Linked DNA regions of Diceros bicornis minor. The protein of the gene in region 4 purifies or fractionates together with the protein of the main gene of each other region. This does not show direct contact. Links are inferred from orthologs where the notes say so. Each region holds a gene or a part of one and is shown on either strand. Other genes may lie near its edges. The genes, in order: GEMIN4, TNRC6C, TARBP2 and AGO2.

Region 1 (7,030 bases), on a different chromosome or scaffold from region 4:
GGAATAAAAAGGACTCCCCAGTTCTCTAGCCTGGAACTGGGAAGACAACAGGTACCACTGGAAATAGGGAATGCAGGAGAATCAGAACAGGTTTGGAGGGAACACTGTTTAGATTTGGTTATTTGGAGTCTGGGGTAGAACATTAAGGTAGAGACGTCCTCCAGCAATGGAAATGTGGGGTTGACACTCATGAGGAAAGTCAGCCCTGAAATGTGACTCAGAGAGGTGTCTGCCCAGAGGGGATCACTGGAACCAAGGAAGTGAGAGAGATCCTGCAGGAAAAGCAAGTGAAAAGGAAAAGCTCCACCTCTGAGGCTAGGCCCTCCAGCAAAGGATGGATCAGCAGAGGCTCTGGGGAGGAAGGGCTGAGTGAGAGAGAGAGGAGAATAGCACAAAGACAATACCCAACCGCAGGGGCCACCAAGTACATACTGCAGGACGTGACAAGTGAGCTTCTAAGTAAGGATACAGACTAGGAGAGGCACGGAAGCAATCAGACAAGCACTTTTCTCTTATAGCCTTGTCTTGCAAACAGATTTCAAACGTTCTGCCTTTCATGGAAACAGTTCACCCCACGGCTCTTTCCATCAAAGAGAACAAGCTACTCATGGCCCTGGTTCTCTGGTAGAAACCAAGAGGTAGATACAAAAAAAAATACTGCACTAGATTAAGAAAGAAAAGTCCTTCCTTCAGTGAGCCATGAATCGACACAGACTTATCAAGGAAGGCATCTTGGGATGTTTAATGAGACATGGTTTTAAATCCTAGCTCAGCCATTTAAAAGCAGTGTGACCTTGGACAGATGACTTCTCTGAGCTTCCCTTCTGCATGTGGGGATAATACAGACTTCATATTATGACTGTGAAGATCAAATGCTCTATACTAGTCAAACCCGTGGCAGTGGGTTGGTGCTCACTGTTAGCTCCCAATCCCATCTGCCAGGTCTGCCAAGGGTTAAATAAGCTATAACTATGATAAGAGTCAGGCTACAAAGAGCCCAATTAGGTGCTCAAAAAACATTGCTTTCCCCAAACCTTTCTATTGTTGGCAGGACCAGAATCTTGTCACTATCTTTTGCCTCCCCCAGCTCAGAAACAAAAAAGGACACAGGTCTTTCTCAGGTTTGTTTACGTTGGCCCAGAAACCAAATCAGAGCACAAACACTGCTCACTATCCAGTATTTTTTTTTATTTTTATTTTTTTGTGAGGAAGATTGGCCCTGAGCTAACATCTGCCAATCCTCCTCTTTTTGCTGAGGAAGACTGGCCCTGGGCTAACATCCATGCCCATCTTCCTCCACTTTATATGGGACGCCGCCATAGCACGGCTTGCCAAGCGGTGCATTGGTGTGCGACCGGGGTTCAAACCGGCGAACCCCGGGCCGCGGCAGGGGAGCGCGCTCACTTAACCCCTTGTGCCACCAGGCCAGCTCACTATTCAGTATTCTTAACTTTTCATCCCCATCCCCCCACCCCCGTTCCCAGGACCCAGAGATGCCACCCCTTCCTCACTCCCTCATGCCTCCAAGAATACATCTTCCCCATTTTCACACCCCAGGAGGCGAGAAAAAATCCAGATTCCAGGAGACTACAGAATATCCCACCCCTTTGACCATTTACAGGAGCAGCAAAAGGCCAAGGGATCAGCCCTCCTATGCAACCACTAGTGAAAGCAATCCACCTTGGCTCCCAGTGGCCAAAGCAGACTCCCAGGGAGGGGTAGGTTGCTGAGGGGCTCTGGCCCTTCTTTCTTACTCAGGCTGCTCTCCCAGGGCCCTCATATATGTTCCCTTATGACTCTGTAAATTTAACTTTATTGCATTATCAGCTCAACTGAGATGTTTCCCCCAACACCTAGCTTCCAGAGACATAATCCATAAGTACATACACGTGCTACTTGAAGGAATAAGTCCCAGAAGCAGTTTATCCCTGGGCAGATCCCAAGTGTTTTATCACTGCTGGTTAACCGGTGCTTGTGAGTGCCCACTGATCATGTTTATTAAGTGGTTACTCCATGCCAGGCACTGTGCTAGGTGGTATGCATGTAAGATCTCTCCTAATCCTCAAATCAACCTTTTGAGGACTATTCCTGTTTTAGAGATGGAAACGCTGAGACTCAGAAACAATTTGCTCAGGATGTCGCAACTAAAAACGGTAGGTCTGGGACAGAAATCACCACAGCTGCAGGACTCTTGCAGCTCTACCGTCCCACCACTGAAGAGCTGTCTGGGGACAGGGACCGGAACACTTCTCCACAGCCTACTATTACTGGCGCATCTTGGGGTACCTCCCCCAGCTCTCCCAGAACAGCCGCCTGTCTTATCCCCTTAAGAGCTTGTCCAGCAGGGTGGGAAGCTGGGCAAAGAGCCACCGATTTATACCAGCGCCCCGCTCCCTTCTCCTAGACCTTGCCTGAGGATTCTGAGTCAAGATGCACGTGCCCGACGGCTGCTGCAACCCCTCCCCACAACTGCTGGTCTGATGATCGCTAGCTCCGCGCAAGGCGCCGTCCCAGACGCTGTATACACGTGATCTCCACGAAAACCCCTCAACTCCGTGAGGCGGTTACATTATCATCATCCACGTTTTATCAGTGAGGGCCTCATGAGCCTAAGACACTTGCTGAAGCACACAGTAGACGTTCAATAAATGAGACCGCCAGGGCATCCGGGATTCCCCGGGGCGCCCTCGAGTCCGGTCCACTTTCAGGAAATCTAACTACACATCCGCTTGGCCTTTCGCGTGGAAAGGGGCCCGGAGGGCGAGGGGCCGGCCAAGCAGCGGCGGGGCCCGGGCTAGAGCCCGGCCTCCCGACCCCCGCTCTTCGAGGACACCCATCCCCAACATCCCCCCGACCAGGAGGTCCCCCTTGGCCCGGGCCCGCTCAGCACCGCCCCGGCCGCCCGTCGCGGGACGCGGCCCAGGCGGGCCCGGGACCGGGCAGCCGGGACACCCACCTAGGTCCATGGCGGCGACGCTAGCGGCAGCGCGGGGCGCCCCTCCCCCCAAGGCCGCGAGCGCGGCGCAGGCGCCACGGCACAATGGGCAGCGGGGGGGCGGGACAATAGGCCGCGCCTCAGGCACCGCCCCCAGTCTCAGCTCGGGCTCCGCGCGGTCCGCACAGTCCTGCCGCCGCTCGGCGCGCACGCGCGGTCCTACCAACGAGCCCGCGGCCTCGAGGCCGCCGGGCCCGCAGCGCCCCCTATCGGCCCGAAGCCTCCAACCAGCCGACAGGCAGGTGCCTGCGCCTCTCTGCCACCGCGGCGGGCCCGCCCTTCCCTCTACCCGGTCCCTGCCCGCCCCCAAAACGTCTGGCCCCGACCCAGGCCACCAGGCCCGGCCGCCTTGCTTTCAGTGCTCCGCTCAGCCACGCATCTGTCCAGTCCCTTGCCTAGCCCTGCTTCTCGAGTCCCGGTCGATCCTACCCTTTAGCTCCGTCCCTGGCCCCGCATCCTCCCCGACTCGGTAATCCCCGGGATCCCCCCGCACACAGTTCACCCAGACGGAATGCCTCTCCCCAGGCTGCCTCCCAACCAGCATAGACGCGCCATGCTCTGAGAGGCTTCGCCCCCCGCAGCGGGTCTGCCCATCTCCGGCTCGGAGCCGCCTAGCCCCACAGCCCACAATCGCCCCAGTGCTCGGCCTTCAGACAGCAGCAGCAGCTCCTTCTTTTCTGGCATCATAGACTCCTTTGAAATGTTAATGGTTGTCCTCCCCAGAAAATTCGAGCAAGAACAACTGTGGGGGCAGATCCAGTCCAATGGACTCCAGTTTGCAATCTGTACTTTATAAAAACACACATTTGATTTCTGAGAAAACACACACACAAATATCCTATGGGCTTCTCACACGTTACCCTGTTTCCTTTTCTCCCTTTCCCTTCTTTCCAGACTTAACTACCAGCCTCAAGCGTTTTTAACTCTCTCCCCTCCAGCTTCTAGCGCCAGATACCACCTAGAAAGGACAGAGGGGCGCCGCCTCAGCTCCTGCAATGTGCCAGGTGGAGTTTGAGATGGCCTGTGCTGCTATCAAGCAGTTGAAGGGACCTGTGAGTGATCAAGAGAAACTGTTGGTGTACAGCTTCTACAAACAGGCCACCCAGGGCGACTGCAACATCCCTGCCCCGCCCACCACAGACGTGAAAGCCAAGGCCAAGTGGGAGGCATGGAACCAGAACAAAGGGATGTCCAAGATGGACGCCATAAGGATCTATGTTGCAAAAGTGGAAGAGCTGAAGAAAAACGATACTGGTTAAGGAGGACAGAGTGTCAGTCAGACCGAAGTAGCACGGCGCCTCTGGTAGGGAAAAGGGCTTCTTAAAAGACCTTGATGGCTGAAATGTCCTGAAACCATAACAACCATAGCTGAGACATCAATAAATCACTTAAACTGCATGGGAGTGATTGTCTGCTGTTGGAAAAGTGATAAACTCAAAGTCAAGTTACAGCACAAAGGGCAGGATCTGCTTGCTGCAAGACAAAAGCCAATCATCAAGAGGCAAGATGGTGGAAAAGAAAGGGCAGTTTATCACATCTTGTTAGCAAGGGGGAAGATGGCTGACTAATGTCTCAAAGAACCATCTTAAGGGGGCACAAAATCTTACAGCAGTTATATAGGCCGGTGGGGTATAGGGGAGGGGGTTAGGAATGTCAACCCTCAGACTGGGAGTCGCCACACCAGATCTTTCAGTTTCATTGATGATGGCTATCAGCATAGACTGTCTGTAAGGGGGTCATCACATTCCTAAGGAACTCAAAAGAACAAAGTTATCATCTCATCACAGCTGGGAGGTACATGCACAAGCAGGAGTTGTAAAATCTACAGAGCGGTTACATCTCCTGGAGGGTGCATATCCAGTTGGGCTAGTCAGAGGCCATTAAAAGTTACAACAGGGAGGGCCGGCCCCGTGGCTTAGCGGTTGAGTGCGCGCCCTCCGCTGCTGGCGGCCCGGGTTCGGATCCCGGGCGTGCACCGACGCACTGCTTCTCCGGCCGTGCTGGGGCCGCGTCCCACATACAGCAGCTGGAAGGATGTGCAACTGTGATGTACAACTATCTACTGGGGCTTTGGGGGGAAAATAAATAAATAATATGAAAAAAAAAAGTTACAACAGGGTTTCTTTTCTACAATATGGCTTCCCTTATGTCAACCTTGTCTTGAGCTGGTATCGGTGACTGTGAGAGTCCTAGGTAGGTGTCCACAATATATAAAAAGCATCTCTTCTCTGGGAAAAGTTCCATCAAAACTGGCTTTGTGTATGATTCTGAGTAAAGAGTTCCCAGTCTTTCTATTCCCAGAGCATATGTAGACATCTGGCAGGAGTAGAGGACTGGGGGGGAGAATCATGCTATAAAAATGCCCAAGATTTGAGGTCAGTGAGCCATTCTCCAGAGGCTCAGCCTCTGCGGGAGGGGAAGGGAGGAGAGGAGGCCGAGGCCCCTAATCTCTTCAGGGGTTATGGATTCACTACTAACCCACCGTTACAGAGGGGAAAGGAGCTTTGTCTTCCAAAAAGCTCAAGTCAAGTTCTATTACCAAAAGCCCCTACTAGAATACAGTCCTGATGAAGTTAATGTTTTTTTTTTGTGAGGGAGATCAGCCCTGAGCTAACATCCATGCTAATCCTCCTCTTTTTGCTGAGGAAGACCGGCCCTGAGCTAACATCTATTGCCAATCCTCCTCGTTTTTTTCTTCCCCAAAGCCCCAGTAGATAGTTGTATGTCACAGTTGCACATCCTTCTAGTTGCTGCACGTGGGACGCGGCCTCAGCATGGCCGGAGAAGCGGTGCATCGGTGCGTGGCCGGGATCCAAACCCGGGCCGCCAGTAGCGGAGCGTGCGCACTTAACCGCTAAGCCACCGGGCCGGCCCTAAGTTACTGTTTTGAGGGGAGTCAAACTTTAAGTGAAGTAACTGATGCACCACAACACAGAAGCTGAGAAAGACTGGAGCAGATGGTTTCAAAATCCCAGCCTCTGAAAGACTCATCTGAGGCCACGCAGACAAAAGTTTCTTGGGACTACCCTGTAGCTAAGCCTGGTTTCTGCTTGGGGATGTTTGTGGGACAACACGTATATATATGTATATGGGTTTTGTTTTATGAGCACAACACACCCCATGACCTATGCAAGGGCCAAAGTACCTGAGCTCAGCTTCCACTCCTTATCACGGAGGCATCAATGCACAGTGGTGCACTGGGATATGGAGTACTAAATGATATTCAAGACATTTCAGGGAAAAACATCTGCCATGGCATAGAATTTCCTAATACTTTTCCTCAACTAAAAACTATTTTCAGGGCCAGCCCAGTGGCACAGTGGCTAAGTTAATGTGTTCCACTTTGGTGGCCTGGGGTTCATGGGTTCGGATCCCGGGCACGGACCAACACATCGCTCATCAAGCCATGCTATGGCAGCGTCTCACATACAAAAAATAGAGGAAGACTGGCACAGATGTTAGCTCAGGGACAATCTTCCTTAAGCAAAAAGAGGAAGATTGGCAATGGATGTTAGCTCAGGGCCAATCTTCCTCATAAAAAAAAAAAAAAACCTATTTTCATAGCTATCAGGGCAGCTCCAGTTCATGAAAAACCATTAAACAATAGAAGCAAAAACCATAAAGACTTCGGAGGACAAAGAAACCAAATCTCACCAGATCTCTTCAGATCTTCTGTTCACACATTTGCAGGAAGCTGCTATAAACTAAGTACATTACTTAAGAATGAAGTATACCCAGGACACCAGTGACTAAAAAAATATTCCTTATAACTATAAACTGGGCATGATCCACACTGTACAATAATTGTGCTGTTTTCTTTTCTTTGGAGGATGTTATGAACACATTTTGATGCTTTTAGGACCATGATTAATATTAAATGTGAATTAATAGTAAAAATAATAATGGAACATCTTGCTCCAAAATATGGCGTCAATTTAGGAGCTGTAGGTATAGCCACATCATTCTGTAAATCATTATAAAACCTGATAAAGTGGACCATAATTAGGACTGCAGAAAGCAACTGTAAGATACATT
Region 2 (7,929 bases), on a different chromosome or scaffold from region 4:
TCTAAAACATAAGCATGCAATCTCATGGATCTAATTCCTCCTGGGGAAGGCCAAAAAGACCCATAAAGAGTCTTTAAAATGGCTCTTAAGCCTTAAAATGTTAAGTTGTTAGAGAAGTTATACGATGCCAAAGACATTCTATATACTCAAATCAAATAATGGAGAAATAAACTAATTTCCGCTAGTAATCTTTTTTTAAATTTAAAATTAGCATCACTTGCTTGAGTCAAGCAAGAGTAAGTTTACATTCAGGACCTCGTTGCCCTCACTTGGAGTTGGGGAAGTAATGCAAATACCCCATTCTCAGCCAGTACTGTAGGAATTTTATCTTCCATTTCTTTCCAACTCACTGAAAGCTCTCCTCACTAAGGAAAAAGGCTGCCCCACTCCAGCCCTGACCTCCTCCTCCTCCAGCTTGGTTTTGGAAGTGAGCCAGATGACAGCATTTGGAAAAGCACAAATTTATCTCAGTAAAGCCAGCTGTTTAACAAAAAGGTGGTGGTGGTGAGAAATACTGTGATTTAAAGTTTCCTATATTCCCCTCATGACTTAGTTATATGTTAATCATTGAGAGCCAAATGAAACAGTTCACCCCACTTTCCACCATAATTATTCAGCACTCTAATGCAACTATTTGTTCTAAGATTTCTGAGCCAACTAAGTATAAATATAAATCTGTTACACAATAATCTGTGTCAAAGTGTTAAAACATATGCCACTTGAAAAAGAACAATAATAAACACTGAAAGGAGGAAAACCTAAAATCAACCTTTACATGTATCCCACGTTGCTACTAAAATATTTAAATGCCACAATCAAAAATGAAATAGGATTCAGTCTTATGCCAGCTTCAGTGGTAACCTAAATAATTTCATACCTTAATAGTAAAACAGAGGTATGGTCAATAAGGTCTTTGATTTAAACAAGAAGCATGGAAGACTTAGAATCAGACTTCTAAAACTAGATCCTCATAATAAAATCAAGTCTGAATATACATATATATATAATATCTGGGACCCACAGATCCATTCTGCTGCTTGAGGAAGTGCTAGTTTGAAGAAATTATTATGTGTCACTGTAAGTATAACTTAACCAATAATTTTACCATTATCATTTTCTAGGCTATCAATTTCTCAAGATCCAACATGTGAAACAAAATCAGGTTCTAAGAATGTCTATTCTTATGAAAATAGAAATATTAAAAACTTTCTACAGAGGAGAAAAAAACCTTTCAGTACAGGTAAACAAAGCAACAACTATCCAGATTATCATCATCTCTGTGAACACCAACAATAAAATTAACTCGGACAATATAATTGGGCTAGTCATTTTTAAAACCTCGTTTCGCATCACTTTCCCCAACAAAGCATCCTAGGGGTGTCATACTGAAAGGTGTTCGAAGACCTTCACCACCTCTGCGGTTATGGAATAATGTAAATTTCTTCAAGGTGCCCTCTGCCAACCAAGTCCATCTGCTAAGTTTTATCCTTTATTCTTTCACACAGCACCGAAGGAGGTTTGGAATCAATGCACATAATTGTCAGCACCCCCTACACGTTTCAAACTGGCCACCACTGTCCTCTGAGATCACTCAAGCCACATTTCCAGTGTCTCGACTCATCCCCATAGTTAATTCTAAATGTAGGAAATAACTTGCATAAAATAAGCCTTCTGCAGAGTCAAGTTATGCTCAGAGACCTAGCAGCCTCCACACAGTGCTCATCATTAACTGACCACCTATACCGGCCGCAGCACAGCGACGAGAATACCGGATAGAGGAGAAAACCCGAACCTCAGCAACACAATGGATTAAACCAGTCAGACGCCTCTAACTTGCAACTCCTTAAAGACGCTCAAGTTGGACATCCACAGAGCACCATTTTGAGTTCAGAATCCGTAGTTCACGCCTAGATACAACCGAGCAGACCACTCAAATGGAGGTTTCATTTGACAGAGGCAAAGGTTCGAGACAATTCCACTCATTTCGTACAGAATCAGGGATACCGTCGAGTGCCTTAAAACGCAATATGTGCAGCCAGGATCTGCAGCTCCTCCTCCCCCGCCCCGTGGCATCGAGACAGCGATCCTGCATCTTCGGTGAGATTCCCAAATCTCCGTAGAACCTGCAAGCCAATGGGTTCTCCGCCAGGTCAACCGGCAGGGAACCCCACTATTAGCATGTGCACATTTTAATAGCTACGAATCAGTGAACCAAATCTCATCCCCAAGATAAAGGTGCGAAAGAGGCGTCGCTCCAGCAAAGGTGGCACCGAGACGCTCGGGTTACGTGATCTGATCGCAGGACGGCTGCGGTGCGGCTCCCTTTCCTCGTGCGCATCGCTCCGCAGCCTGCAACACCGGGAGCAGCCCACCTGATTCCAAACCCGCAGGGGGCCACGGGGCCCCCAACACTCCTCCAGAGCACGCCAGGGGCTTGCTCTTCCCCCAGACAACAGCACGGGAGGCCCTACCCCGAAAACACTTCGGTTCGTGCATGCCATCAGAAACACAAAATCCGCGGTGCCTGTTTGGGGAGAACCTGATTCCACCGAGCGCACCAGTGTAAGAACCAGAACACCACACACACAGCTGATGCTGCCGCACACCCGTGCCGATCACGCGGGCGCCCCGCACACCGGGCCCCGCCAGCCTCACCCCGCGCGCACGCACGCACGCCCCGGCCCCGCGCCGCGCCGCGGCAGCTCCTCCCGCCGCCCCGCGCCGCGCACCCCTTCCCGCCGGGACCGCGACCCTCCGCTCCGAGCCCGGCCGAACAAAGGCGACGCCGCCAGCTCGGCCAGCCGCGGCGGCTCGAGGCCCGGCCCGCGCTCACCTGGGCTCCGTCCCCGGCGGCGGCGGCTCCTCGGCGGGGCTCCGGCGGCGCTGGCCTGGCGGCGGCGAGGACCACTCGAGCGGCCGCCCCGGGGCCTGCGGGGCGCTCGGGCGGCGGGGGCCCGCTCAGCGCCGGCGCCGCGGGCTCAGGTCCCGGCGCGGGCGGCGGCGGCGGCGGCGGCGGCGCGAGCGGGTGGGCGGCGGCGCGTCCCGGCAGGTCCAGGTCCGGCCCCGGCGACGCCGCGACGCGCCCTGCTCCTCGCGCCCGCGGGCGGGACTGCAGCTCCGACGCGGCCCGGGATCCGAGGAGGCGGCGGCGGCGCTCGGCGCTCGGCCGGCTGCGCTCCCTCCGCCTCCGGCTCGGGCGGGCCCGCGGTGGCGGCGGCAGGAGCGCGGCGGCCGCAGGGACGGCCCTGTCAGGGGCGGCGGGGGCGGCCGGGGCAGCGCTCAGCGCTGCGGGGCGGCGGGGCCGGCGGCGGCGGCTGCGGCTCCCGGGGCCGTCGCGCTGAGGTGCGGAGCTGCCACCGCGGCCATCTTGTTGCTCTAACTGACAAGAACCCCCCCTCCCCCCGCTCCAGCCAGACCGGGCGCTCGCGCCCCCTTCCCCGCCCCGCGTTGGCCTCCAACAGGAAGTCGTCCCGGCCCCCGGCACGTGACTCCACTGTATCTGCATACCGGAGGGCCAACTAGCCAATCGGCGCTCTGCACTCGTGCTCCGCCCCCGCGCGCCCCTCCCCGGCCCATTGGCTCGTCTCGGTAGGCCACGCCCTCTCCTTACCCCTTAATACCCGGTCGCGCCTCGGTTTCCCAGACCGTGTGGGGAGCGCGCCGGGGTGAGAGTGCGCGTGCGCTAGTCTCGGTGACTCGCACTCAGCTTGAGGTGCGTGGCGACCCCCGCGGCGTCCTTCCCAGTCTTTGGGTGCTGTGCCTCCGCGTTAGTACGCTGGACGGCGGGGCGCGGACCCGGCCCAGTGCGTCCGCTCGGTTCCCCCGGCCAGCGCCTCGCGGCTCCCGGGCCCGGGTTTTGCGCGGTATTTTCCGCCGGTGGCGCTGGCCCTCTATGCAGCGGCGCCCAGCGCCCGCACTGGCGCGCGTCGCGCCCGTGCCGTGCACACGCCTTGCACCTCCCCACCGTGCACACACACGTACACGCGCCGGCCTGGCCCGGGAGCATCCTGCTCGCAGCGCGCCTCCCAGCCCGCCCCTGCGCGCAGCCGCTCCCCGGGGAGCGCCCTGCTGCGAGCCAAACAAGCCTAGCTGCGCAACAGCCCCCGGGGAGACATCCCTCTCCCCTGGAACACCGGCACTGCCCCCACCGCGCAAACGGCTGTCCGGGCCGAACCGGGCGCTCCGGCTGCACACTCCACGGTTCCTTCCCGGCGCTCGGTAACCCGTCGTGGTCCTCCATTCCGCCGCTCCTCTTCTGTAGACATTAGACATTAATCGTAGATAAGGTCAGGAGCGATGTGCAATTTAAAAGTCCCTTTTTAACTTTTGGTTCGAGTCATGAGAAGATTTTGAAACCAAGAATTGTCTCCATTTTCATGAAGGGTCATGGAAGCAGGCCAGCTTTCCCCTTCGTGCAGTGGATGCTCAGCGGGGCTCCTTGAAAGTTGTTCGTGCTGGAGGAGGCCATTCCCTGTCTACGTGTCCCCATCTTGAAGAGCACATAATGACACGCTGCTTTCGCAATGCAGTTTTGTTACCGCAAGGGTCATGCTTTGAAACGTCTGTGGATGAAAGAGACACAACAAATTCTTCGCGCTCGTTTCCCTTCAGGGTCCCATGAGCTCGGTGCACTGCTTTTTTCTTACTGTCATATTTTAAGCTTTCGGCAGTCAGATTCACAAACCACTCTCTATAGCCGCCTTCACATGTCTGTCTGTGTTGTGTATTTCTCCTCCCGAAAACCCACATCACTTAGAAGGGTCTGAAGTCAGACGGAGCTGACATAGAGGATTCTGCCTTTTCCATTCAACGTTTTATTTACATTAATTCTTCACTGAGGAGAAACCTGCATATTTTATTATTTCTCAAAGAGACATTCTCCAGGAGGGAGTGCAAAATAATATTTTCAAAATATGTAGCATCCACTAGGTAGATTGCTAAATCTGTGAAGAACCCGGGTACCTGCGTGGGCAATCATTGTAATAAGCAGAACTTCACTTTTGGAAAATTGAACCAAAATTACATTAGTTAATATTTGTCCTTGATGTTGAATTTGTGACTGTAACCTCTCAACTTTTCTTTATCTTGTACTTTTTAGTATCCCCCTCCCTCAGCTTAAACCAGGCAAAATAATTGTCTCCTTCTGTTATTTTAGACTGTAAATACCTGGGGAAAAGGTAGTGCTTATATTGGCCATATTTTCTGAGCCAAAAATTAGACTCATGGTTTGGCATGTGGACAGTAGAAAGAATATTTGAAATTAGAGTTGATCCAGCAACATTGAGGCATATGATGGCCATGAGTGTGGACACTGCAGAACACAGTGTCGCTTATTAGTGGCTGTTTTGACTGAATGGAGTGTAAGCAAAGACCCCCAAGCAAAGCTGTAAAGTGGGTAAGTGCATTTTTGGGGTCTGTCATCCTCTTATCAGCCTTGCCACTACCACCTCATAACTAAGGTCTGAGTTAATAATTTATAAAAATGGGCAAAACCGACAGAATTATATGTAAGAGGATTAAACGTTAAATGTAGTTAAGTTAAAAAGTCAACTAGTTGCAGCAGGGAGGGCGAAAGGGTAAAGGGGCACATATGTATGGTGATGGATAAAAACTAGACTATTTGGGGTAAGCACAATGCAGTCTATACAGAGACTGATATATAATAGTGTACACCTGAAATTGCACAATGTTATAAACCAATGTGACCTCAATAAAATAATTTTTTTTTGAAAAGTCAACTAGTTAAGAACAGATGAAGACCTACCTGTACACCAGCTCATGTGAAAAAATTCTAGTTTTGGGCGACCACATGCTCAACATGGCTAAATGTGAGAAATTGTTTGTTAAAAAAGTATACAATCTACATTAAGATAGTGTTCAGTTCCAAACACTGCACTCTGAGCTGGTCAGATCCCACACAGGATAGTAAGACCAGTTCTGGGCTCTATGGTGTAAGAAAGAAATCGGCAAACTTAAAGACTGTCTCAGGGGAACAGCGGGTTGCTGATGGAAATCCTCCAGTCATTGAGCAATGGCTGCAGGAGCAGAAGAGGCTGGTATAGGGAAGAAGAGACAGGATGGCTGTCTTCAAATATTTAAAGAACTCCCATGTAGAAATAGGCACAGTGTATTCTGCAAGAACCTAGAAGGCAGACCTGGGATCAATGGGTGGAGGGTTTGGAGACAAATTTTTATTTCATTCAAGGAAGAATTATGAAGGTTGTCCATAGAAACTCCTGCTTGTAATGTTACAAGATCCACATCTGGTTTAAGCAGAAAGACAGGGCAATCATATCCCTATCTCCATGGATACTGTAGAATAGATTACTGCATTGGGCACGAAGGTTGAATTAGCTCAGCGGTTCTCCAAGTGTGCTCCCTGGACCAGCAGCATCAGCATCACCTGGGAGCCTGTTAGAAATGCAGCTTCTTGGACCCAACTGCCAGATCTGCTGAATCAGAAACTTGGGGGATAGGGCCTAGGTATCAGTGTCTTAACAAGCCTTCCAGGTGATTCTGACACACGCTAAAATTTGTGAATAAAACAAGTGATAAAGGGCAGCTTTTCTTAGAGTTCTATTTGTGCATGATACTTGCTCCTTTCCACTCCCAGCCACTTCCCACGGCACAGGGCTGCTTTGCTTCCTCCTGAAGTCCCTTGTTCTGTTCTTCAATCTCTTGGTTCTATAAGTAGAATTGGCATCAATGGAGGACTCTTAAAGGGAAAAGCTTCAGGACTCAAATAAATTATTGCTTTTCAGTGAAAATGTAGTGGAGGTGGGGTTCAGTTCTCCCTGTTTGTCACCAGTAAATGGCAACTGACTTGGCCTTGAAAAATGTGATAAACTTAAAAGGCCTTTCAAACAGGCAGCAAGGCATAGGATGTTGGCTCTCAAACTCTGTTCATAAGAATCACCAAGGTAGCTTGTTTAAAATACAGATTCATCTAGGTCCAGCATGGGGCCTGTGAAGCAGCATATTTAACCATTCCCCCAAGTGATTCTGGTGCAATTGTCCTCCCACTACACTGAGGAAAATACTGGAATAGAGGGAAGAATCTTCAAATCAGAGCAAGGCTGAATCTCAAATCCGCAGCTCACTGGTTGTTTGACCTTAGGCAATTTTCTGGGCCTCAGACATCTCCTCGCTACTCCTCACTGAGTTAGAGATTCTCATTGAACAATTATTGAACTTGTATTATGTCCCAGGCAGTGGACTAGGTGCTGGGGATTTAAGCTGAAAGCCATGGTTGACTTATGATTATAATACATGCAAGGTGCTGAAGAGGGCAGGAGGAGAGACCCAGGTCATTCTGGAGGGACCTCTGATCTGAGTCTTGAAGGATGCAAGGGGAGCAATGGTCAGAAGCTGATGGAAGGGCATTGAAGACAGAGGGAGCAGCCAGTGTAAAAGAAATATACAAGAGCAGTGTGGCACTTCCAGGGGGCTGCAAAGTATCAATGGGGTTGGAACAGCTCATGTATAAGGAGAAGGGAGGGAAAGGAAGCAGGAGAGATGAGCAGGGGCCAGATGATAAAGAGCATCTCATGACACATGAAGGAGTTTGGTCTTTACCCTGAAGGCAATGAAGAGCCCCTGAACGACCCTAAACATTGCGCTTGGCTGTCCGAGAGATCTCTGTGGAAACATTGTGGTGGATGACGAGAAGGAGGTTAAGACAGGGAAGCTGGGGCAGGAGGTGATGGCACAGGGTGGAGGCCTGCCAAGTCCTGCAGCCAGGAAATTAGAGCCTGTGGAGGCAACCAGAGTGGCGACAGAGGTGAAAGAGAAAAGATACGTTTGACAGGTAATTTTAACTCCAGGGAACTTCCAGGGACTTGGGGCTGATACATATGGTGAGTAAGGAAGATGGTAAAGGATGATGCCCGCTTTTCTTGCCCAGTGAGAGGTGGATGGATGGTGAGCTAG
Region 3 (6,916 bases), on a different chromosome or scaffold from region 4:
GTGGGAGAGGGGCTGTATATCCAGTCCCTGAAGCACCTGGTGGGACTCACACACAGGACCATCATGTGGCCAGCTCAGAAGAAAATGGGGCCTGCAAGACCTTTAAACATGGTCAAACATCATCCACATGGCTATTTAAAAGTCATCAATTACTTCCTGTCCCAAGAGCTTACCAGCTGGTGCAAATTCTTCAAACTCTGGTCCCCAGCTAGTCCATCCCCTGTTTACTCTCAGACTTCCTCATGCCTGACCTGCCTGGGTCCAAGGACTGGGGGCCAGGGGCCAGGAGCCAGGAGCCAGGAGCCCTTCCTCCCCGCCTCAGGCAGTCAGGAAACACAAGATACCTGGTTGGGACAGCAGACGGAACAGGAGTAGCAGCTGCTGCAGCCGTTAAAACCGGAACGTCCTCAGGCAGTGAAGAGTCTAGGGGAGAAAAAGAACTTCCCGAGGGGAAGGGGGCCTTTGATTCACACCCATGAGGAGGGGGCACAAGGGGCAGGGCTCCCAGGTCCTCCTGACCTGCCCATCCCCTAAGAAAATTCCTTCCCACTCGAGCCAAAGAGCCAGGGAAGTTCAACCACCAGTTCTTGCTCCTGGGATCCTTTGCTGCCAACACCAGATCAAAGAGACTGAGAAACAGGGGGAGGAGGGTCTCTTCCTACCCAAGAACCATGGGAGCAACAAACTCCCGACCTGAGTGTGGAAGAGGGAGGGACAGCTTGCTAAGAAAGAGGAGGCATGTTGAGCAGCAACTCCTTCCAGCCTCAGCCTCCGCCCCTCTCCCTCCCTAGCCTGGGCCCCAAACCACAGCCATGACCCCTCGGTGGGGCTGGCCATTCCCCCCAGAACCCTTCACAGCAACAGGAGCCCTGGAAGCATCCTGCTCGGTTCCAGAGGAAACTCGCAGGAAAAGGCCAGGTCAAGGTGGCTAAGTGTCACCAGGCCAGGCCTATCGGGCGGAGGGGCTGGCGCAGGGGCCTGGGCTCCTGGCAGGGCCTCTAGGATGCCTCGGCTCCTCCTCCCTCACCTGCTGTCCTCCAGGGCCGGCTCCAGCATGCTCCCTCCTTTGAGGTGTTTGAGGGCCACCTCAGCTGCCTTGTGCTTGGCTGCCTTCTTGCTGGGGCCCTGACCTGAGAGAGGGGGTGTGGGCAATACTGGAGGTCACTGGAACGATGGAAGAGAAACCAGCATCCCACAGCCTCTCTCTTCACAGCCAGAGGGAGTCAACCAAGCCCCCTCTCACCAACCTCCCCCTGTCCAAGACTGGAAGGAAAGGCCCTTATCTTTCCATGAGCTCCCCAAATCAAGCCATGCCAGGCAGAACTGCTCCTGAACTCAGACACCGTGGGTGGAGATTCTTTCTCTGTCTCACTTTCCTCTGGCCAGCACTTTCTTTCCTCTCAATAAATAGAGATGGCTGGAAAAGTAGAAAAAGCAGGCTCTACAGTCAAAGCCTGGCTCTGCCACTTACTAGGCATGTGACCTTGCACCAGTCAATGAATCTCTCTGAACCTCAGTTTCCTCACATTCAACATGAGGATACTACCCCTACCTCACTGGATTAGACTGAGGTCTAAGATTTAAGAGGAATTTGAAACAGAGCACCTGGAACAGAGAGCACAGCGGGCACTCACGTCCCCAAACACTTTGCTGAGATGTCAGTTTATCTCCTCTTACTTTTTCCTCTAGGATGATGACGATCCACCAGACCACTGTGGCAGTCCTGCTTGCTTCTCTAACTCTCCCAAGTCCTACCCACCTCCTAACAGACCTGTTCTCCCAATCCACTCAGTGGCTTTTCCCCTGAAATCTCTCCTTCCCTCACTGGCCTTGGAGAAGTGGACTGTGAAGAGACTCCCAGAAATAAAGCCAACGGGGCCCTGTGAATGCACACCCCAGCCAGGTTGCCCAAGCCTTCCTCACCAGTGCAGCTGGTGTCGCCAACGGTGACCCGGAAGGTGAAATTAGGCTGGTGGGCTTGGCCCTCGGCTTTGAGAAGGTCGTACACGGGCGTCTTCCCTATTCTGGTCCCATACTCCTGCAGAAGGCTGATCGGGGTCTTGCCCGGGTTGGCTGCCAGCATTTGCTCTATACTGGGGGGAGGGGCACAGACCGTCATCACACCTCTCCTCTCTGCACCCACCTGGCCAAGCACTGCCACATCAGACCCAGGCACATTATGGGGGACACAGGGTCCAGGGGACCCCAGGCAATACAGCAGCCATTGGCTGGGTTCAGTGTGGAGCAGAGGTGCAGGCTGGGAAAGCAGAGCCCACTGCCCCAGGGCAAGCGGGAACGCACTGTTCCTGTCTCAGTTAAGGCGGGGATCCTGTGCCCCAGTGCAGGGTGAAAGTGCATGTCCCCTGACACAGTGCAGGCCAGGAACCCAGTACCCACCAAATGCACTGAATGTCGGGGGCATAAAGCCCTGTGGCCCCAGTACAGTCTGGGAACCGGGCCAACCCCAAACTATTTAGAGCTGGAGGCAGTGACCACAGCCGGGATGCATGCCGGGAACCACGGCCCACTACCCCAGTGCTTGCCGGGAACAACCCTCAGGCCAGGTGCATGCTGGGGCCGCGCCGCTACCCCCTCCGCACCGCACCACGCTCCCAGCCCTACAGGGATCGGTATGAGGCGGCTCACCTGGGCAGCCCGCAGCCCGTGGTAGTGCCGGAGCCGTGCTCCTCTTCACTCATTCCCTCCTCCGTCCCCGCGGGCGCCACCGTGACTGCAGCCTTCACGCGCCCCGATACACCGCCGACGAGCTAGGGCCGGGGCCAAGCCCGGAGTCGCGGCCGGTCGGGCCCGCCGCGAGGCATGCTGGGATATGGAGTCCCCCGCCCACCCGACTCCATGAGTCTCCATCAGGAGGGACGCTATCCGCCCCACAACCCTCCGCGTGGTTCGCCCTAGCAGGCAGCACCGCCTTCTGGGAGGAGCGGACCCTTCCACTGTCGCTTCCCGAGCTGAGGGTGGTTTTTTGTTGGCTTTTTTTTTCTTTTCATATCGTCCCGCCTCCTGCCTTTCGTGTCTCTTCTCCCCTGGACGGGGGCTTTGGGCATGCGTACTAGCGGAGTGGAAGCGGCCGGGGGCGGGGCGGTAAGGGCTAACTCGAGCCCCAGGGCCTTCGAATCCCGAGAAAACTACAGAACCCAAGAGCTCGCGCGCCATCTTTGTCGCAGCTGGAGGGGCAGGGTCAAGCATGCACGAGAAGCTTCACAGCGTGATTGGTTATTCCGATTGCGCTTGCTTGTTCTAGGTGGATTGCGATTCGTTACCTCACCTAGGGGCGAGGGGACAATGGAGAGTCAGCCCCCTTGGCTCCGCCTCTTTTTTGAGAAAAGGTTGTGATTGGTCCAGGGACCAGGCTGCTGTCGGTTCCTGGCTCCTCCAGTCTGGGAGGGTGGGCCTTAACTGGACGCTGGAGGGGATTGTTCTCTGCCCCTCAGAGCGGTAGGGCACTTGTACCTTCAAGTCCGTCTCAGTTCCCGCTCAGCCTTCGGCCTAAGCGCCTGACCCCGGGCCTTAGTCTTACAGAACCTGCTTCCTTTTCCTAGGTTGTCCTTCACCTCCCTTCTCCTTAATTCTGCCCCGCAGCCTCTGGGGTTTCCGATTCTTTTCTAAAGCCTAGTGAACTTTTCTGTAGCTGGCCAGGAGACCCCCTCTGGGAGCTGAGAATTGGGCTGTAGTGGGACGACAGGGTTAGAAGGACTAAGGGACGTGGTGGTCTCATTCCTTCTGCCGTGGGTCTTGGGTCTCTCAGTTAAAGAGAGAGTTCTGTTCTTTTAAGACTAATCGACTAATCTGAGTGCAGAGCAGAACGCGTATTTTTGGATCCCAGAGCTCCAGTCCCTCCTCGCCAAAGTCTCACAGCCACTGGGCTGAAAGATGTAGGGAAAATCTTGTGACCTTGGAAAGAGAGAGATCATGAAAAATGTCTGATTCTAATGAGTGTTCCGAGAGTGGGTCAGGGAAGAGATGGCTTGCTCTGAGGCGGGGGGTGGAGGTCCAGAGGAATCTTGGGATGATAACGAGGGGTCATCCAAGAACATTGGAGGGCGACGGGGTATTGAGCTGAGTGGATCCCAACTGGATGGAACTGGAGTGGTAACAATTAGAGGAAAGAAAGCTGGCAACGTCGGTATGACGGGGGAACAATGCTAGAGCGCTGGGGGTTCCCATCTGAGGGGCTGCTGTCTCAGGGTAAAGAAGGGAGTTTATAAGACCGGTCATAGGGGGCTCCTATGGAATCAGCATAAGGCCTGAGGTGGGACTGCCATAGGACACCGCCAGCAGGGCGGTGAGAGACCCAGACGGGCGAGGGACGAGCCTGGAGCGCGCCGGATGGCAGCAGCGGGCTCCTTTAAGAGGCCGGCGGCTCCAGCGCAGCATCCCCCGCTCAGGGCGTGTCCGTCCCGGGGGGCCAGGGGCGGGGGCCTTGGAAGGAGCGGGAGTTCAAGCCGAGTGAGGACGGGGCTAGGGGTCGGGGGGTGGGGGGAGAAAGCTGGGGCTGACACCCGTGCGCCCGGACACCGCGCGAGCATCGCCCGTGACAGCGCCCCGGGTCCGGTCGAGGGCAGCGGGGGGAGGAGGAAAGGAGGAGGAGAAGGAGGAGGAGGCGGGAGCAGCATCCGGAGCCGAGCTGCAGCAGCGCCGCCTTTTGTGCTGCGGCCGCGGAGCCCCCGAGGTGAGAGCCGGGCCGAGTTGGGGGGGGTGGGGGGCAGGGATGGGTCCGGGTCCTGGGATCCGGGTGCGGAGGGAGGGTCGGGATGCAGATGTGGCAGGGTGAGGGAGCGTGGCGCGGGGATGCTGAGGCTGTGGGGATAGAGGAACTGGGGACCTGGACCCGACGTCTGTGGGGATGGGAAGGAGGGGAACGGAGCCTAGGGACGCCGCGGCCCAGCTTGGAGGCGAAGGGCCTCCAGAGCTGGGAAGGACTGTATGGGGTGGGGGTTGGGGGGTGATTGGGGGACAGACCTAAAGGACAGCGGGCAAGAGAACACCCTCCTCTCCTCCCACTCATCCTCAAGAAGGGGGAGAGGGAAGGAGGAGGAAGAGTTTTGGCCCCTGAGGGAAGGAAAGGAAGGACAAGGCCTGATGTGTGCACCGTTCCCCTCAACCTGCCCCCCCCACACACACACACTCCCCTGAGGATTATAGGCCTAGAGCACCTGTTCTGGGATATCCAGGTGATGGTCCCCCCCTTCCCGCTGTGATGCCCCCAATCCTCTCCAGCTGTGGCATTCACCTTCTCCATCCAGCTGTTGCATCCCCCACCTCCACCATTCATATGTGGTTTTCTCCCCCTCTCTCTCTCCATCTCCTCTGGCTCCCCTAACCCATTTCCCCAGGCCAGGCCTTTCCTGGACCTCCTCCCTTTTCCCCACATACTCCTCAAACTCCTTGGCTTAAAAATAAGTTAAGAATCCTATCCCTAGAGTTAAGTCTCCTGTTAAGCATGGCCTTGGCTCAGGGGAGGGAAGAGAAGGGATCAGAGGCTCTATAGACAGTAGAAGGAAAGAGTGGGGTGTCTCTTAGAACTGAGGGAGGAGTCCTGACTTTTAGCTCCGTGCCGCGCTCCCTCTTGGTAGGAGTTAGTGAGTGGCCCTCAACCAAAGCAAGTGCACATGAGGAGGTCTCTCCCCGCCCGGAGTCCTTCTGTGCCACAGTCAGTGCCTTCCTCTAAACACCATTTCCCTTCCAACTCACAGGATGGACTCCATGGCTCTGGGCGCCCTGATTTTCAGCCAGAGGGTCACACCAAGGGAAGGCGAGCAGAGGGGATACAGGAAGGGAAGGCCCCAAGTGCGCCCCAGGCCCTCCTGTTCAGACACTGAAGTTCCTCTGAGCTGTAGGGCCTGCTTTCTCCTGTCTCACACTTACGGGTGGGCAAGAATGTCTGCCCTCTCAAGCCTGCCACTCATCTCTTCACTCACAGTGGGACTGGGGTGATGCTGGGAAGACCAACAGTGTGATACCCCAACTCCAGCACACAGGAAAATGCACAAGTAAATATCCATCCCCTAATAAAACCCAGTTATGGGCAGAGGAGGCAAGAAGTTTAAAGAAGGAAGTGGCTCAGGACTTCCTGGGTGTCCTTCCAGCTGAGGATGGCAAAGCCCCTCTAAAAACCAACTGCTCTTTTCCAGTTCTTCCCTTGGCGGTGATGATGTGGGAGTCTGGCTTTGCCAGAAAGAGCTCCCTAAATTCTAGTACCCGCTGGCCTGGACTGTTCTAATACCTACTGCCCTGCCTGGGCTGGGGAGAAAGAAGGGATTAGGGAATCAACCCTTCAGGAGTCCCTGCTGGGCAGAAGGAGGAGAGTGTGGAGATGATGCCAGCAGCGGACAGAGGGGCTTCATGAGGGCTAGCCACAGAGCCTGGTCTGTCTGCTTCATTGGCTCCCAGCAGGACTAGGGTCACGTGTGTGTGTTGGGGGAAGGTGACGAGGAGGCAGGGACACTACAGAGGAGAGTAAGGACCATCGGGGATAAAGAGCCCTTGCCCTCTGGCTCCTTCCTTCTTTGTTCTCCTTTTTATCCCTCGTGTTGTCTACCTCCCTTTCCACCTGTACCCTCCCTACTGCCTCTTGCTTTGCAGAGGAGGAAAAAGGAAAGAGGGATGGGAGTCACACTTATAAAAAACCTGCTACTGCTTGTTAGAAACTGTCCACATGGCTGATGTTTATAGGGAGCTTCCTGGGGGCCAACTCCTGGGCCGAGAACTTAATCTGGATTATCTCAGTAATGCTCCTAACAAGACAAGAGTTACGTAGTGTTGTCATCATCTCTATTTTAGGGATGAGGAAACTGAAACTTAAAGAACTTAAGTAATCTGTTCAAAGTCAAAAAATCAGTATGTGGTGAGAGTTTAAGATTTGAACCCAGGCCTGTCTGACCCGGAGCCTGTGTCT
Region 4 (7,723 bases):
GTACAGGTTTATGTATAAGCACGAGTCATCATTTCTCTGGGAGAAATGCCTAGGAGTACGGGAGCCGAACCGGGGCTGCCAGCAGCGGAGCGCGAGCACTTAACTGCTAAGCCACGGGGCTGGCCCCTCTCCTATCTGTTTTTTAAAAGTTTTATAGTTTTAGGGCCGGCCCCATGGCTTGGCGGTTAAGTGTTCGCGCTCCCCTGCTGGCGGCCCGGGTTTGGATCCTGGGCGCACACCCACGCACTGCTTCTGCGGCCATGCTGAGGCCGCGTCCCACATACAGCAACTAGAAGGAAGTGCAGCTATGACATACAACTATCTACTGGGGCTTTGGGGGAAAAAAGGAGGAGGATTGGCAATAGATGTTAGCTCAGAGCTGGTCTTCCTCAGCAAAAAGAGGAGGATTGGCATGGATGTTAGCTCAGGGCTGATCTTCCTCACAAAAAAAAAAAAAAACTAAATAAAATGTATCTTAAAAAACAGTTTTATAGTTTTATGTTTACATTGAAATCTGTCATCCATTCTGAGTTCATTTTTCAGTGTCTTTATGTTAGCGACATCTTGGCTGTTCCTTCCTTGCTATATGGAGGAAAGAAGATATCCTAGAGTAAATGGTGTCTCCTGCATATACATTAGGTGCAGCCCCCTTTTGCACTTCTGTATGCCAGTAAATGACACCCTCTGCAGCACTGTTGTGTCAGTGGCCTCCTGGGGTTGTGCAAGGAGGTGGCTCTGATTGCTTGCATTTTCAGAGTTCTTGATTTAGCCTCTGTTGGGTGCACAAAATGACAAAGTGATTTATGTATTCAAATTAAGTGGTTTCCATTTAATGTTGGGTTCAGTGTGTAGAAATTGCTTAGATGTGTATTTTGTTCCTACTATGACAGAAGTATTTGTCAATTCACAGCCATGCTCTTGAGTTTTTAATTCAGAAAAACAGCCAATACTTTTATTCAAAGAATCTTAGAACATTATTACTGGAAGGCATCATAGAAGAGCTCTACCTCAGTGTTTCCCAAAAGTGTGTTCCCTGGAACCTGAAGGTACCCTGTGATTAAAGGGTTCTGTGGCCAAGTGGGTTGGGACAGACTGCATACCATCTATTCCCCTCCTTCCTGTTTGTAGAATCATGATTCTTAATACTTTGTTAAAGGCTCTGAGAAGGTCTGCAGCCAATAAATCTGTTTAGTGTTGTTGCACTCAATGCTTCCCAATTTGGTTGACCTCCTAACCCCTCTTTTATCACATGTAGAACATGTTTTTGGATCAACTGTTTTATTCCGGTGCCCACATTTAAGTCTTGAAGAAACTAAGGGACCCCAAAGGTGACAGCTTTTGCCTTTCCTATGGCATTTCTGCTCTGGACTGGGTGCACCCAATGTGCAAACCTGGGGCTGACCAGTGTTGGGGTCTCTGGCTCTGATTACTTTCCTGCAGTCTTATCAGAGCATAGGGATCCCCAAATACAAAGCAATGAATTGTATCTGGGAGAAAGACTGGCCTCAGAGTCGGCCCTATGTGGTTGACATGCAAGTGCTGGATGAAGGCCTGGAGGAGCAGAGCAGCAATGGGTTGGAGAGGGTTCTAGAGACATTTCACAGCGAGAATTGAGTGGACCCCGTTAAATGGGTTAAGTTGAGTCAGCGATTTCGGGAGAGGCAGAAGGCAGAGGGGCCTGGGGTTTCTTTGGTGGATGGTGAATCTGTTGGCCATGCTCGGGAACACAGGGAAAGGGCAGACTGGGAGGAGGTGAGAAAAGATGAACTGGGTTTGGCATTGTGGCCCTGAAGCTTGGGGGTGGGTGGGAGGAGGAGCGCTGCAGAAAGGGGGCGGGGTTCCTCAACACCAGCAGTAGAAGGGGATGTCTGGGAGAGGTGGACTTATCTAGAAAAGGACAAAGGAGAACCCTGCTGCTAGTGGCGGGGGAGGGAGAACTCCAACTCAGACACTGCTTGGGCTTCCGGGGAGGCCTGGAGGTGGCCGGTGCAGGCAGCGAGGGCGCTGCTTCACCAGCAGGGGGCCTCGAATGTTCCGTCTCCGCGGAGAAGCCACACAATCAGGCGCTGAGGAGACATTATCTTGTTCGACCTTCTGCAAAGGAACCCTTGCAACAAAGTTACCCAGTGTGTGTGCTCAAAAAAGCAGAAGGCGGAGCTGGAGGGACACAATTACAGAGCCTTCTGGGCGTTTTCTGAGGCTAGAGATTACAGTAGCAAACAGCCTCTGAGTGGTTCAGTGATTTCGGGCAGAAAACAGGATGGTGATGTGTGAGGGAGACAGAGGCAGACAGAGAGTGGGCCCTTGGCAGTCACGTGGCTCATAAATAAGAGACTAATAACATTCATGATTATTATTTTTAAATTTCTTTATTGTGAAACGTAGCAAAGGTACAGAAAAGTATATAAAATATGTACAGCTTAAGAGATGTGCAAAATGAACAGCAGTATTACAGGGAGGAGCCTGCACCCCAAAGGGCCTCCCACCTCTCTGGTCACAGCAACTGCCCGCCACCAGCAGTAGCCATCATTCTCTTATGGGAAACTACCTTTTTGCTTTTCTTTAGCTTTTTGCTACTTAATTATGTGTCCCTAAACAACGTAGTTCAATTTTGCCTGTTTTGGAACTTTTGTAAGCGGAATCATGCAGTATGGCTGATGGATTCTTCCACGCAACATTGTTGAGGTTCATCCATATTGTTGCACTTGGCTGAAGAGTGTTCATTTTCATCACTAGATCCCACTTCATGAATATATATCGCTCTTATTACTTACTCAATGGCCGATGGATATTTTGGTGGTACCCAGGTCTGTGCTAGTGTGCATTCCTCTCCGGGCTTGCTGTGCTTCTAAACCCACATTTCAGCAGCCTATCTCCCTAGGGCCACGTGTGGTTAGCTTTTACAGACACTGCCAAACTTCTTTTTCCAATATGGTTGTACTAATTCACACTCCCACAGTAACACTCTTGAGAAAGTGAGGATGTGGATCTGAAGAAGAAGGTGAAGTGGAAGATTCTGGTAAAGCAGGTAGGGGCTGTGTCACACAGGGCACTGTAAACCAAATTAAAGATTTTGGACCACATGCAGATGGAAATGGGGAGTCAACAAAGGGTTCCCAGCAGAGCAGGAACAACATCAGATTTGTGTTCACAGATGACTGGTGGGTGCAGAGCAGTAAGGGGCTTTTCAGGCGGTCCAGGAGGTGGTGGGCAGATAATTAGAGAGGATGGATGGGCTTCCTGGAGGCGATGCCATGGGATGGAATCCCGTTCACATCAATGATTTGGTGAAGATGGATATCCTTGCAAGTTCCTCTCTGGAGGAAAGGCTGCTTTTCCTGCACTTATTTAGGGATGTCCTCGAGGATTGCAAAGAACAAGTAATAAACCTATTGGATGCTAAGTTCTTTGCAGACAGGACTCCTGTTCATCTTTGTATGACTCTAGGCCTGAGGAACACACAGTCCCTTGCACCCAATATGCAGATAATACATGTTTATAGGATTTAGGAATGAGCAGGCAAGTATGTTAAAAAGATGATGACCAACTTTGGATTTTATTTCACCCTCTGACTTCTAATCACCCACTAATTAGGGGAGAAAGGAGGTAATCCTTGGCTGGTTTCCCTGGAAAAGGCTCCAAAAACCTGTGGAGGGAGACTTGAAGGATGGAGGAGGATTTGGGTAGAGGGGAGAACGTTCTGGCACACGTGGGGAGAGAACAGAAATGCAGAGGAGCGTGATGGGGTCCGCTAAGGGCCCCAGGGAAAGAATGTGGGGAGGCCCCTGAGCGCCGGAAGAGGGAGTTTTAGTTTGAGCTCACCATTGATAGCAGCTGAAATCTACCAAAAACGTAATACTATTTTTACATGGATTATCTGGGTTCTTGGCCGGGAGGTGGCGCTGTGGTAGTATGCAAGGGCCGGGGAGCGTTCAAGTTCAAGCTCCGGGTCGGGAGGAAGCTTCCCGACGTTCATGTTTCGTTAATAACTTAAAAAAAAAGCTCGGCTGAGATGCTGGGGCGCCAGGACGCGGACTCCAAGGCCAGGCCAACACTGTGCCCCAGTTCCCCCGGGCGGGTGGGGGTGAAGGTGGCGAAGGGTCGTGCACCCCACCACCCACCGCGCGAGCAGCCAGAACGCGCTCCCCAAGCGCGCCGGAGACGCGGGGGAAACGGGGGTGTGTTTTCCTTTCTTTCTTCCCGGTCTCGGGTAGCACAGCCGCGCTGGCCCGCTCCGCCCAGCCGAGGAGACGTCGCTCCTCCGAGTGGCTGCGCGGGGTCCCCCCGCCCCGCGCCCGCCCCCGCGGCGGGGCCTCCGCGCCACACCGGCCCGCGCCGCCCAGTCCCCGTCCGGGCCCGCCCCCAGCTCCCGCGCCCCCGCCCCGGCCCCGCCCCGCCCGCGCCGTGCACCCCCTCCCACCTCCGCTCGCTCTCCCCCTCCCTTCTCGCCCCCTCCCTTCTCGCCCCCCTCCCCTCTTTCCTCCCCCTCCCGCGTCCTTCCCCGTCGCCCCTCCCTCCTCCTCGTCCCCCTCCTCGTCCCCCTCCTCCTCCCCCTCCCGTGGCCCCTCCCTCCTCCCCGTCTCCGTCCTCCTCCCTCGCCCCTCCCCCGCCGCCGCCTCCGCCCGCCGCCCCGGCCGTGTCGGGCAGACCTGTTTGGCGAGGCGGCCGCGCCGGGGCGGATCGTGCGGCCGGCGGCTCCCTCGCGGCTCGCGGCGTCGGGGCCCGTGGAGCGCGCGGCCGCCCCTCGCCGCGGAGCCCCTCGGCGGCGCCACCATGTACTCGGGAGCCGGCCCCGGTGAGTCCGCGCGCTCCCCGCGGCGCCGGCGGCGGTTGGCGGGCCGGGCGCGAGCGCGGCGCGGGCGGGGGCCGGGGCGGCGGGCCGGGGGGCGGGCGGGGGCCGGGGCCGGGGGCGCGCCGGCGGGGGCCGGCGGCGGCCCGGGGGGCGCTGGGGCCGGAGCCGCCGGCCGTTCCTCGGCCCCGCCGCCGCGCAGCCCGGCCTCCTCGGGCTCCAGTCGTCGGGGTCCCCGCGCGGCCTGGGCCCTTCCCGCGCCCCCGTGTCCGTCCGCGCGTCGGGCTCCCGGGCGGGGGCCGCTCCGGGCCGCCCGCGTGTAGGCCCGAGGCCCGCGCGCCCGCCTGCCGGCCGCGGCCGCCGCCTCCTGCGCCCGGAGCGCGGGCCCCGCTGCGCGCGGCGGGACGGCGGGACGGCGGGACGGCGGGGCCCGGGCCGTGAGCGCCCGCGGGGGTCAGTCCCGGTCGGGGCGCCGAGCTCGGGGTGCGGGCGGCGGGCGAGGGACGCGCGGCTCCGGCGCCAGACCGAGCCGCGGCGAGCCTGGAGCGCACTCAGTTTCGTTTTTCTTTTTGCCAGCACTTCTGCGGCCCCTTTTCTGAAGGAAAGTCTGGAAATGCTGAATTTTGGCCAATTCCTCTTGGTAGTTAGGACTGTAGACTGAGGGACAGGAAGCGGCACCCTAAAACCCTGAAAGTGCGTGCATCTCATTTTCATTCCAGACACGCCGGCTCCTTATTCAAGTGCTAATTGCTTTTTACAATTTACTAGAAGAAGGTAAGGAGATGTGTGGATCTCCTTAGCACCCCTTCTTACTAGTCAGCCTCTCTCTCTTTGGAAAAGTTCTAAAAACTTAAAGCAGTAACACTTTTTTTTCCCTTAATGTAGAGTGGAAGGGCGGTTGACTTGCTGGACCAAGAGAATGGTCAAGTGTTGTAAAGCTTTTTCCCCCCTATCCCGCCAGGCACGTGGCTCCTAAATTTCCCGGCTAGCCCTGCCACTTGGACGGGGCATCGCCTCTTTGTCCGCCAGCTCGAGCAGGCTGCAGGCCCCGCCGTGCTCCCGGCTTGGTCCTGGCCCCGTGCTAGGTGCATTCAGGTTCCCGGCCCTCCGGGGCCTCCTGCTGATGGGGCCCTGGTGGGACCTGCTCCAAACTGGGAGTCTGGAAGCCCTTCCTGATCCACTCGGGGGCCTTGACGTTGTCCCGCGCTGTGTCTGTTCACAAACAGCTCTATGCCTTGTGAGTTCTGAGTGTCTTGTTTCCGATGTTACGTAGAAAGCTGCTCCCAGGCTGAACCTGATCAACTTTTAAGGGCTCTCAGCAATTTGACTGAAGAATGGTTTTAACCCTACACCTGAGAGGTGACTCAGCCTTGGTGGGGAAGGGCCCTGGGCTCTGTTGTCACAGTCCTGGGGGCAGATTTGGCTTCTTGAGACTGTGGGCTGGCAGCGACCCCACCCGTGAAATGGCAGGGTAGTCCCTCACCTAGTTGAGTGAGTAGAGCCAACAGAGGCTCAGAGAGGTTAACAACCTTGCCAAGGTCATATGTCCAGTGAGCATTAGGACGATCTGTCTGATCCCAAGCTGCCTTTTTCTACACTCTCCTTAGAGAAGTGGCTGTCACTCCTTTTGACCTTGACCCACAGTAGGAAATACCTGTTACATCTGGACTGCACCCGTTCGCTCAGGAATAATGGAAACGAGCTTCAGGAAGCACACTTAGCTTACTGTGTGCTCCTTGTGGGCATATTTTCTCGTCTGTTTCATTTTTTAAAAATGCCTCAAGCCTTTGGATCTCCAGGCTCATTTCTGGTCCCTAACAGCTTTTGGAAGAATCTTGCTCTGGTGCCGGTCTCTGCATTGTGGTGGGGCCCCACGATTCACAGATGAACTAGCCCTGGAGTCCGACAGCTTGGGTTGAAAAAATAAATAGGTCTGTAGGATAGTTCTTAGCTAATGGCAGGATGGGAATGAACCCAAATTTCGGGCTGTACAAGTGTGCTGTAGTTATAAGGCTGTGGTACAGTTCAATTTTATTCTACACACTGAGGCTTTTAATTTTGTTGAAAAGGAATTTTTGGAATAGAATCTCTTCAACGAAAGTCTTCTTAATCTTATATTTCCTAATTTAGAATAATGAAAAGACATTCAATCTGGATTGTAGGGAAATTACAAGTAGTTTTGCTACTTCCAATTTTAATACACTTATTAAGCAAATTACTAAGTAAATTAATTTAAAAAATAGAGTTGACAATAGGTCTGTGATATTCCCATTACAGATGCTATTATGGATGTGAATTAATATCTGGATTCTAAAGTTAGGTATGTTACTGTTTCTTAGTTTTTTGAACTGTTCCAAGGAGTTAGTGGTTTAGGATGGGTAGACTCTCAGTGACCCTGAACCTTCATAGATGAACATTAGTTCTTTTTAAACCACTTAGAGATCTTAAACTGTGTCTGAGCAATAGCCTACTCCAAGCAGATTGTTTCTTTTCATTTTACTGTGTTCAAATTCCTGTGTGTTACACCCTTGACAGATTTGCTACAAAGTAACTTCTGTAGTTAACTTCTGTTAACATCTAAGTCTTGTTTGAGAGTTGTCTAAACAGGGTTGTGACTTTGAGAGTAATGGACTTTCGCTGTCCCTTCTAGTGCCATTTAACTCCTCCCACAACCAACTTCTCACCCCACCCCCCTTTATCTCAGTGGAGATATGATGGGGGCCCCTGATAATGGTGCACCTTCGCTGCAGCAGATGCCCCTGGTGAAGCTGCTGCCTGCTGCCGGAAGGCATGGCTGGGGAGTTGGGCAGAGTCCTCTTGGATCTGTTATAAATGAAGAACGATTTAAATAAGCGTGTAAGAAAAAACGATGTCAAAGCTTTGACTCCTAAAACCTGTATGGTTTTACGAAGCAGAATATTTTTTGTTAACTTC

The links.
Region 1: the proteins of AGO2 (region 4) and GEMIN4 purify together in Homo sapiens (affinity purification with western blotting; 4 studies listed by BioGRID and IntAct, with this or other methods). This does not show direct contact. The link is inferred for Diceros bicornis minor from reciprocal best matches to the Homo sapiens genes AGO2 and GEMIN4.
Region 2: the proteins of AGO2 (region 4) and TNRC6C purify together in Homo sapiens (co-immunoprecipitation; 6 studies listed by BioGRID and IntAct, with this or other methods). This does not show direct contact. The link is inferred for Diceros bicornis minor from reciprocal best matches to the Homo sapiens genes AGO2 and TNRC6C.
Region 3: the proteins of AGO2 (region 4) and TARBP2 purify together in Homo sapiens (co-immunoprecipitation; 10 studies listed by BioGRID and IntAct, with this or other methods). This does not show direct contact. The link is inferred for Diceros bicornis minor from reciprocal best matches to the Homo sapiens genes AGO2 and TARBP2.

The regions. Positions count from the first base shown.
Region 1 is NC_080757.1:16,808,151-16,815,180, forward strand, and holds the start of GEMIN4 (gem-associated protein 4), read right to left. Parts: upstream 3,011-7,030; 5' UTR 2,967-3,010; coding exon 2,957-2,966; intron 1-2,956. Other genes in the region: diazepam-binding inhibitor-like 5, read left to right, coding at 3,991-4,254. UniProt on the Homo sapiens protein: The SMN complex catalyzes the assembly of small nuclear ribonucleoproteins (snRNPs), the building blocks of the spliceosome, and thereby plays an important role in the splicing of cellular pre-mRNAs.
Region 2 is NC_080757.1:57,902,228-57,910,156, reverse strand, and holds the start of TNRC6C (trinucleotide repeat-containing gene 6C protein), read right to left. Parts: upstream 3,011-7,929; 5' UTR 2,834-3,010; intron 1-2,833. UniProt on the Homo sapiens protein: Plays a role in RNA-mediated gene silencing by micro-RNAs (miRNAs). Required for miRNA-dependent translational repression of complementary mRNAs by argonaute family proteins.
Region 3 is NC_080756.1:16,798,029-16,804,944, forward strand, and holds the start of TARBP2 (RISC-loading complex subunit TARBP2), read right to left. Parts: upstream 3,002-6,916; 5' UTR 2,700-3,001; coding exon 2,647-2,699; intron 2,617-2,646; exon of another isoform or gene 2,398-2,616; intron 2,094-2,397; coding exon 1,924-2,093; intron 1,131-1,923; coding exon 1,028-1,130; intron 441-1,027; coding exon 345-440; intron 1-344. UniProt on the Homo sapiens protein: Required for formation of the RNA induced silencing complex (RISC). Component of the RISC loading complex (RLC), also known as the micro-RNA (miRNA) loading complex (miRLC), which is composed of DICER1, AGO2 and TARBP2.
Region 4 is NC_080760.1:53,395,548-53,403,270, reverse strand, and holds the start of AGO2 (protein argonaute-2), read left to right. Parts: upstream 1-4,708; 5' UTR 4,709-4,773; coding exon 4,774-4,795; intron 4,796-7,723.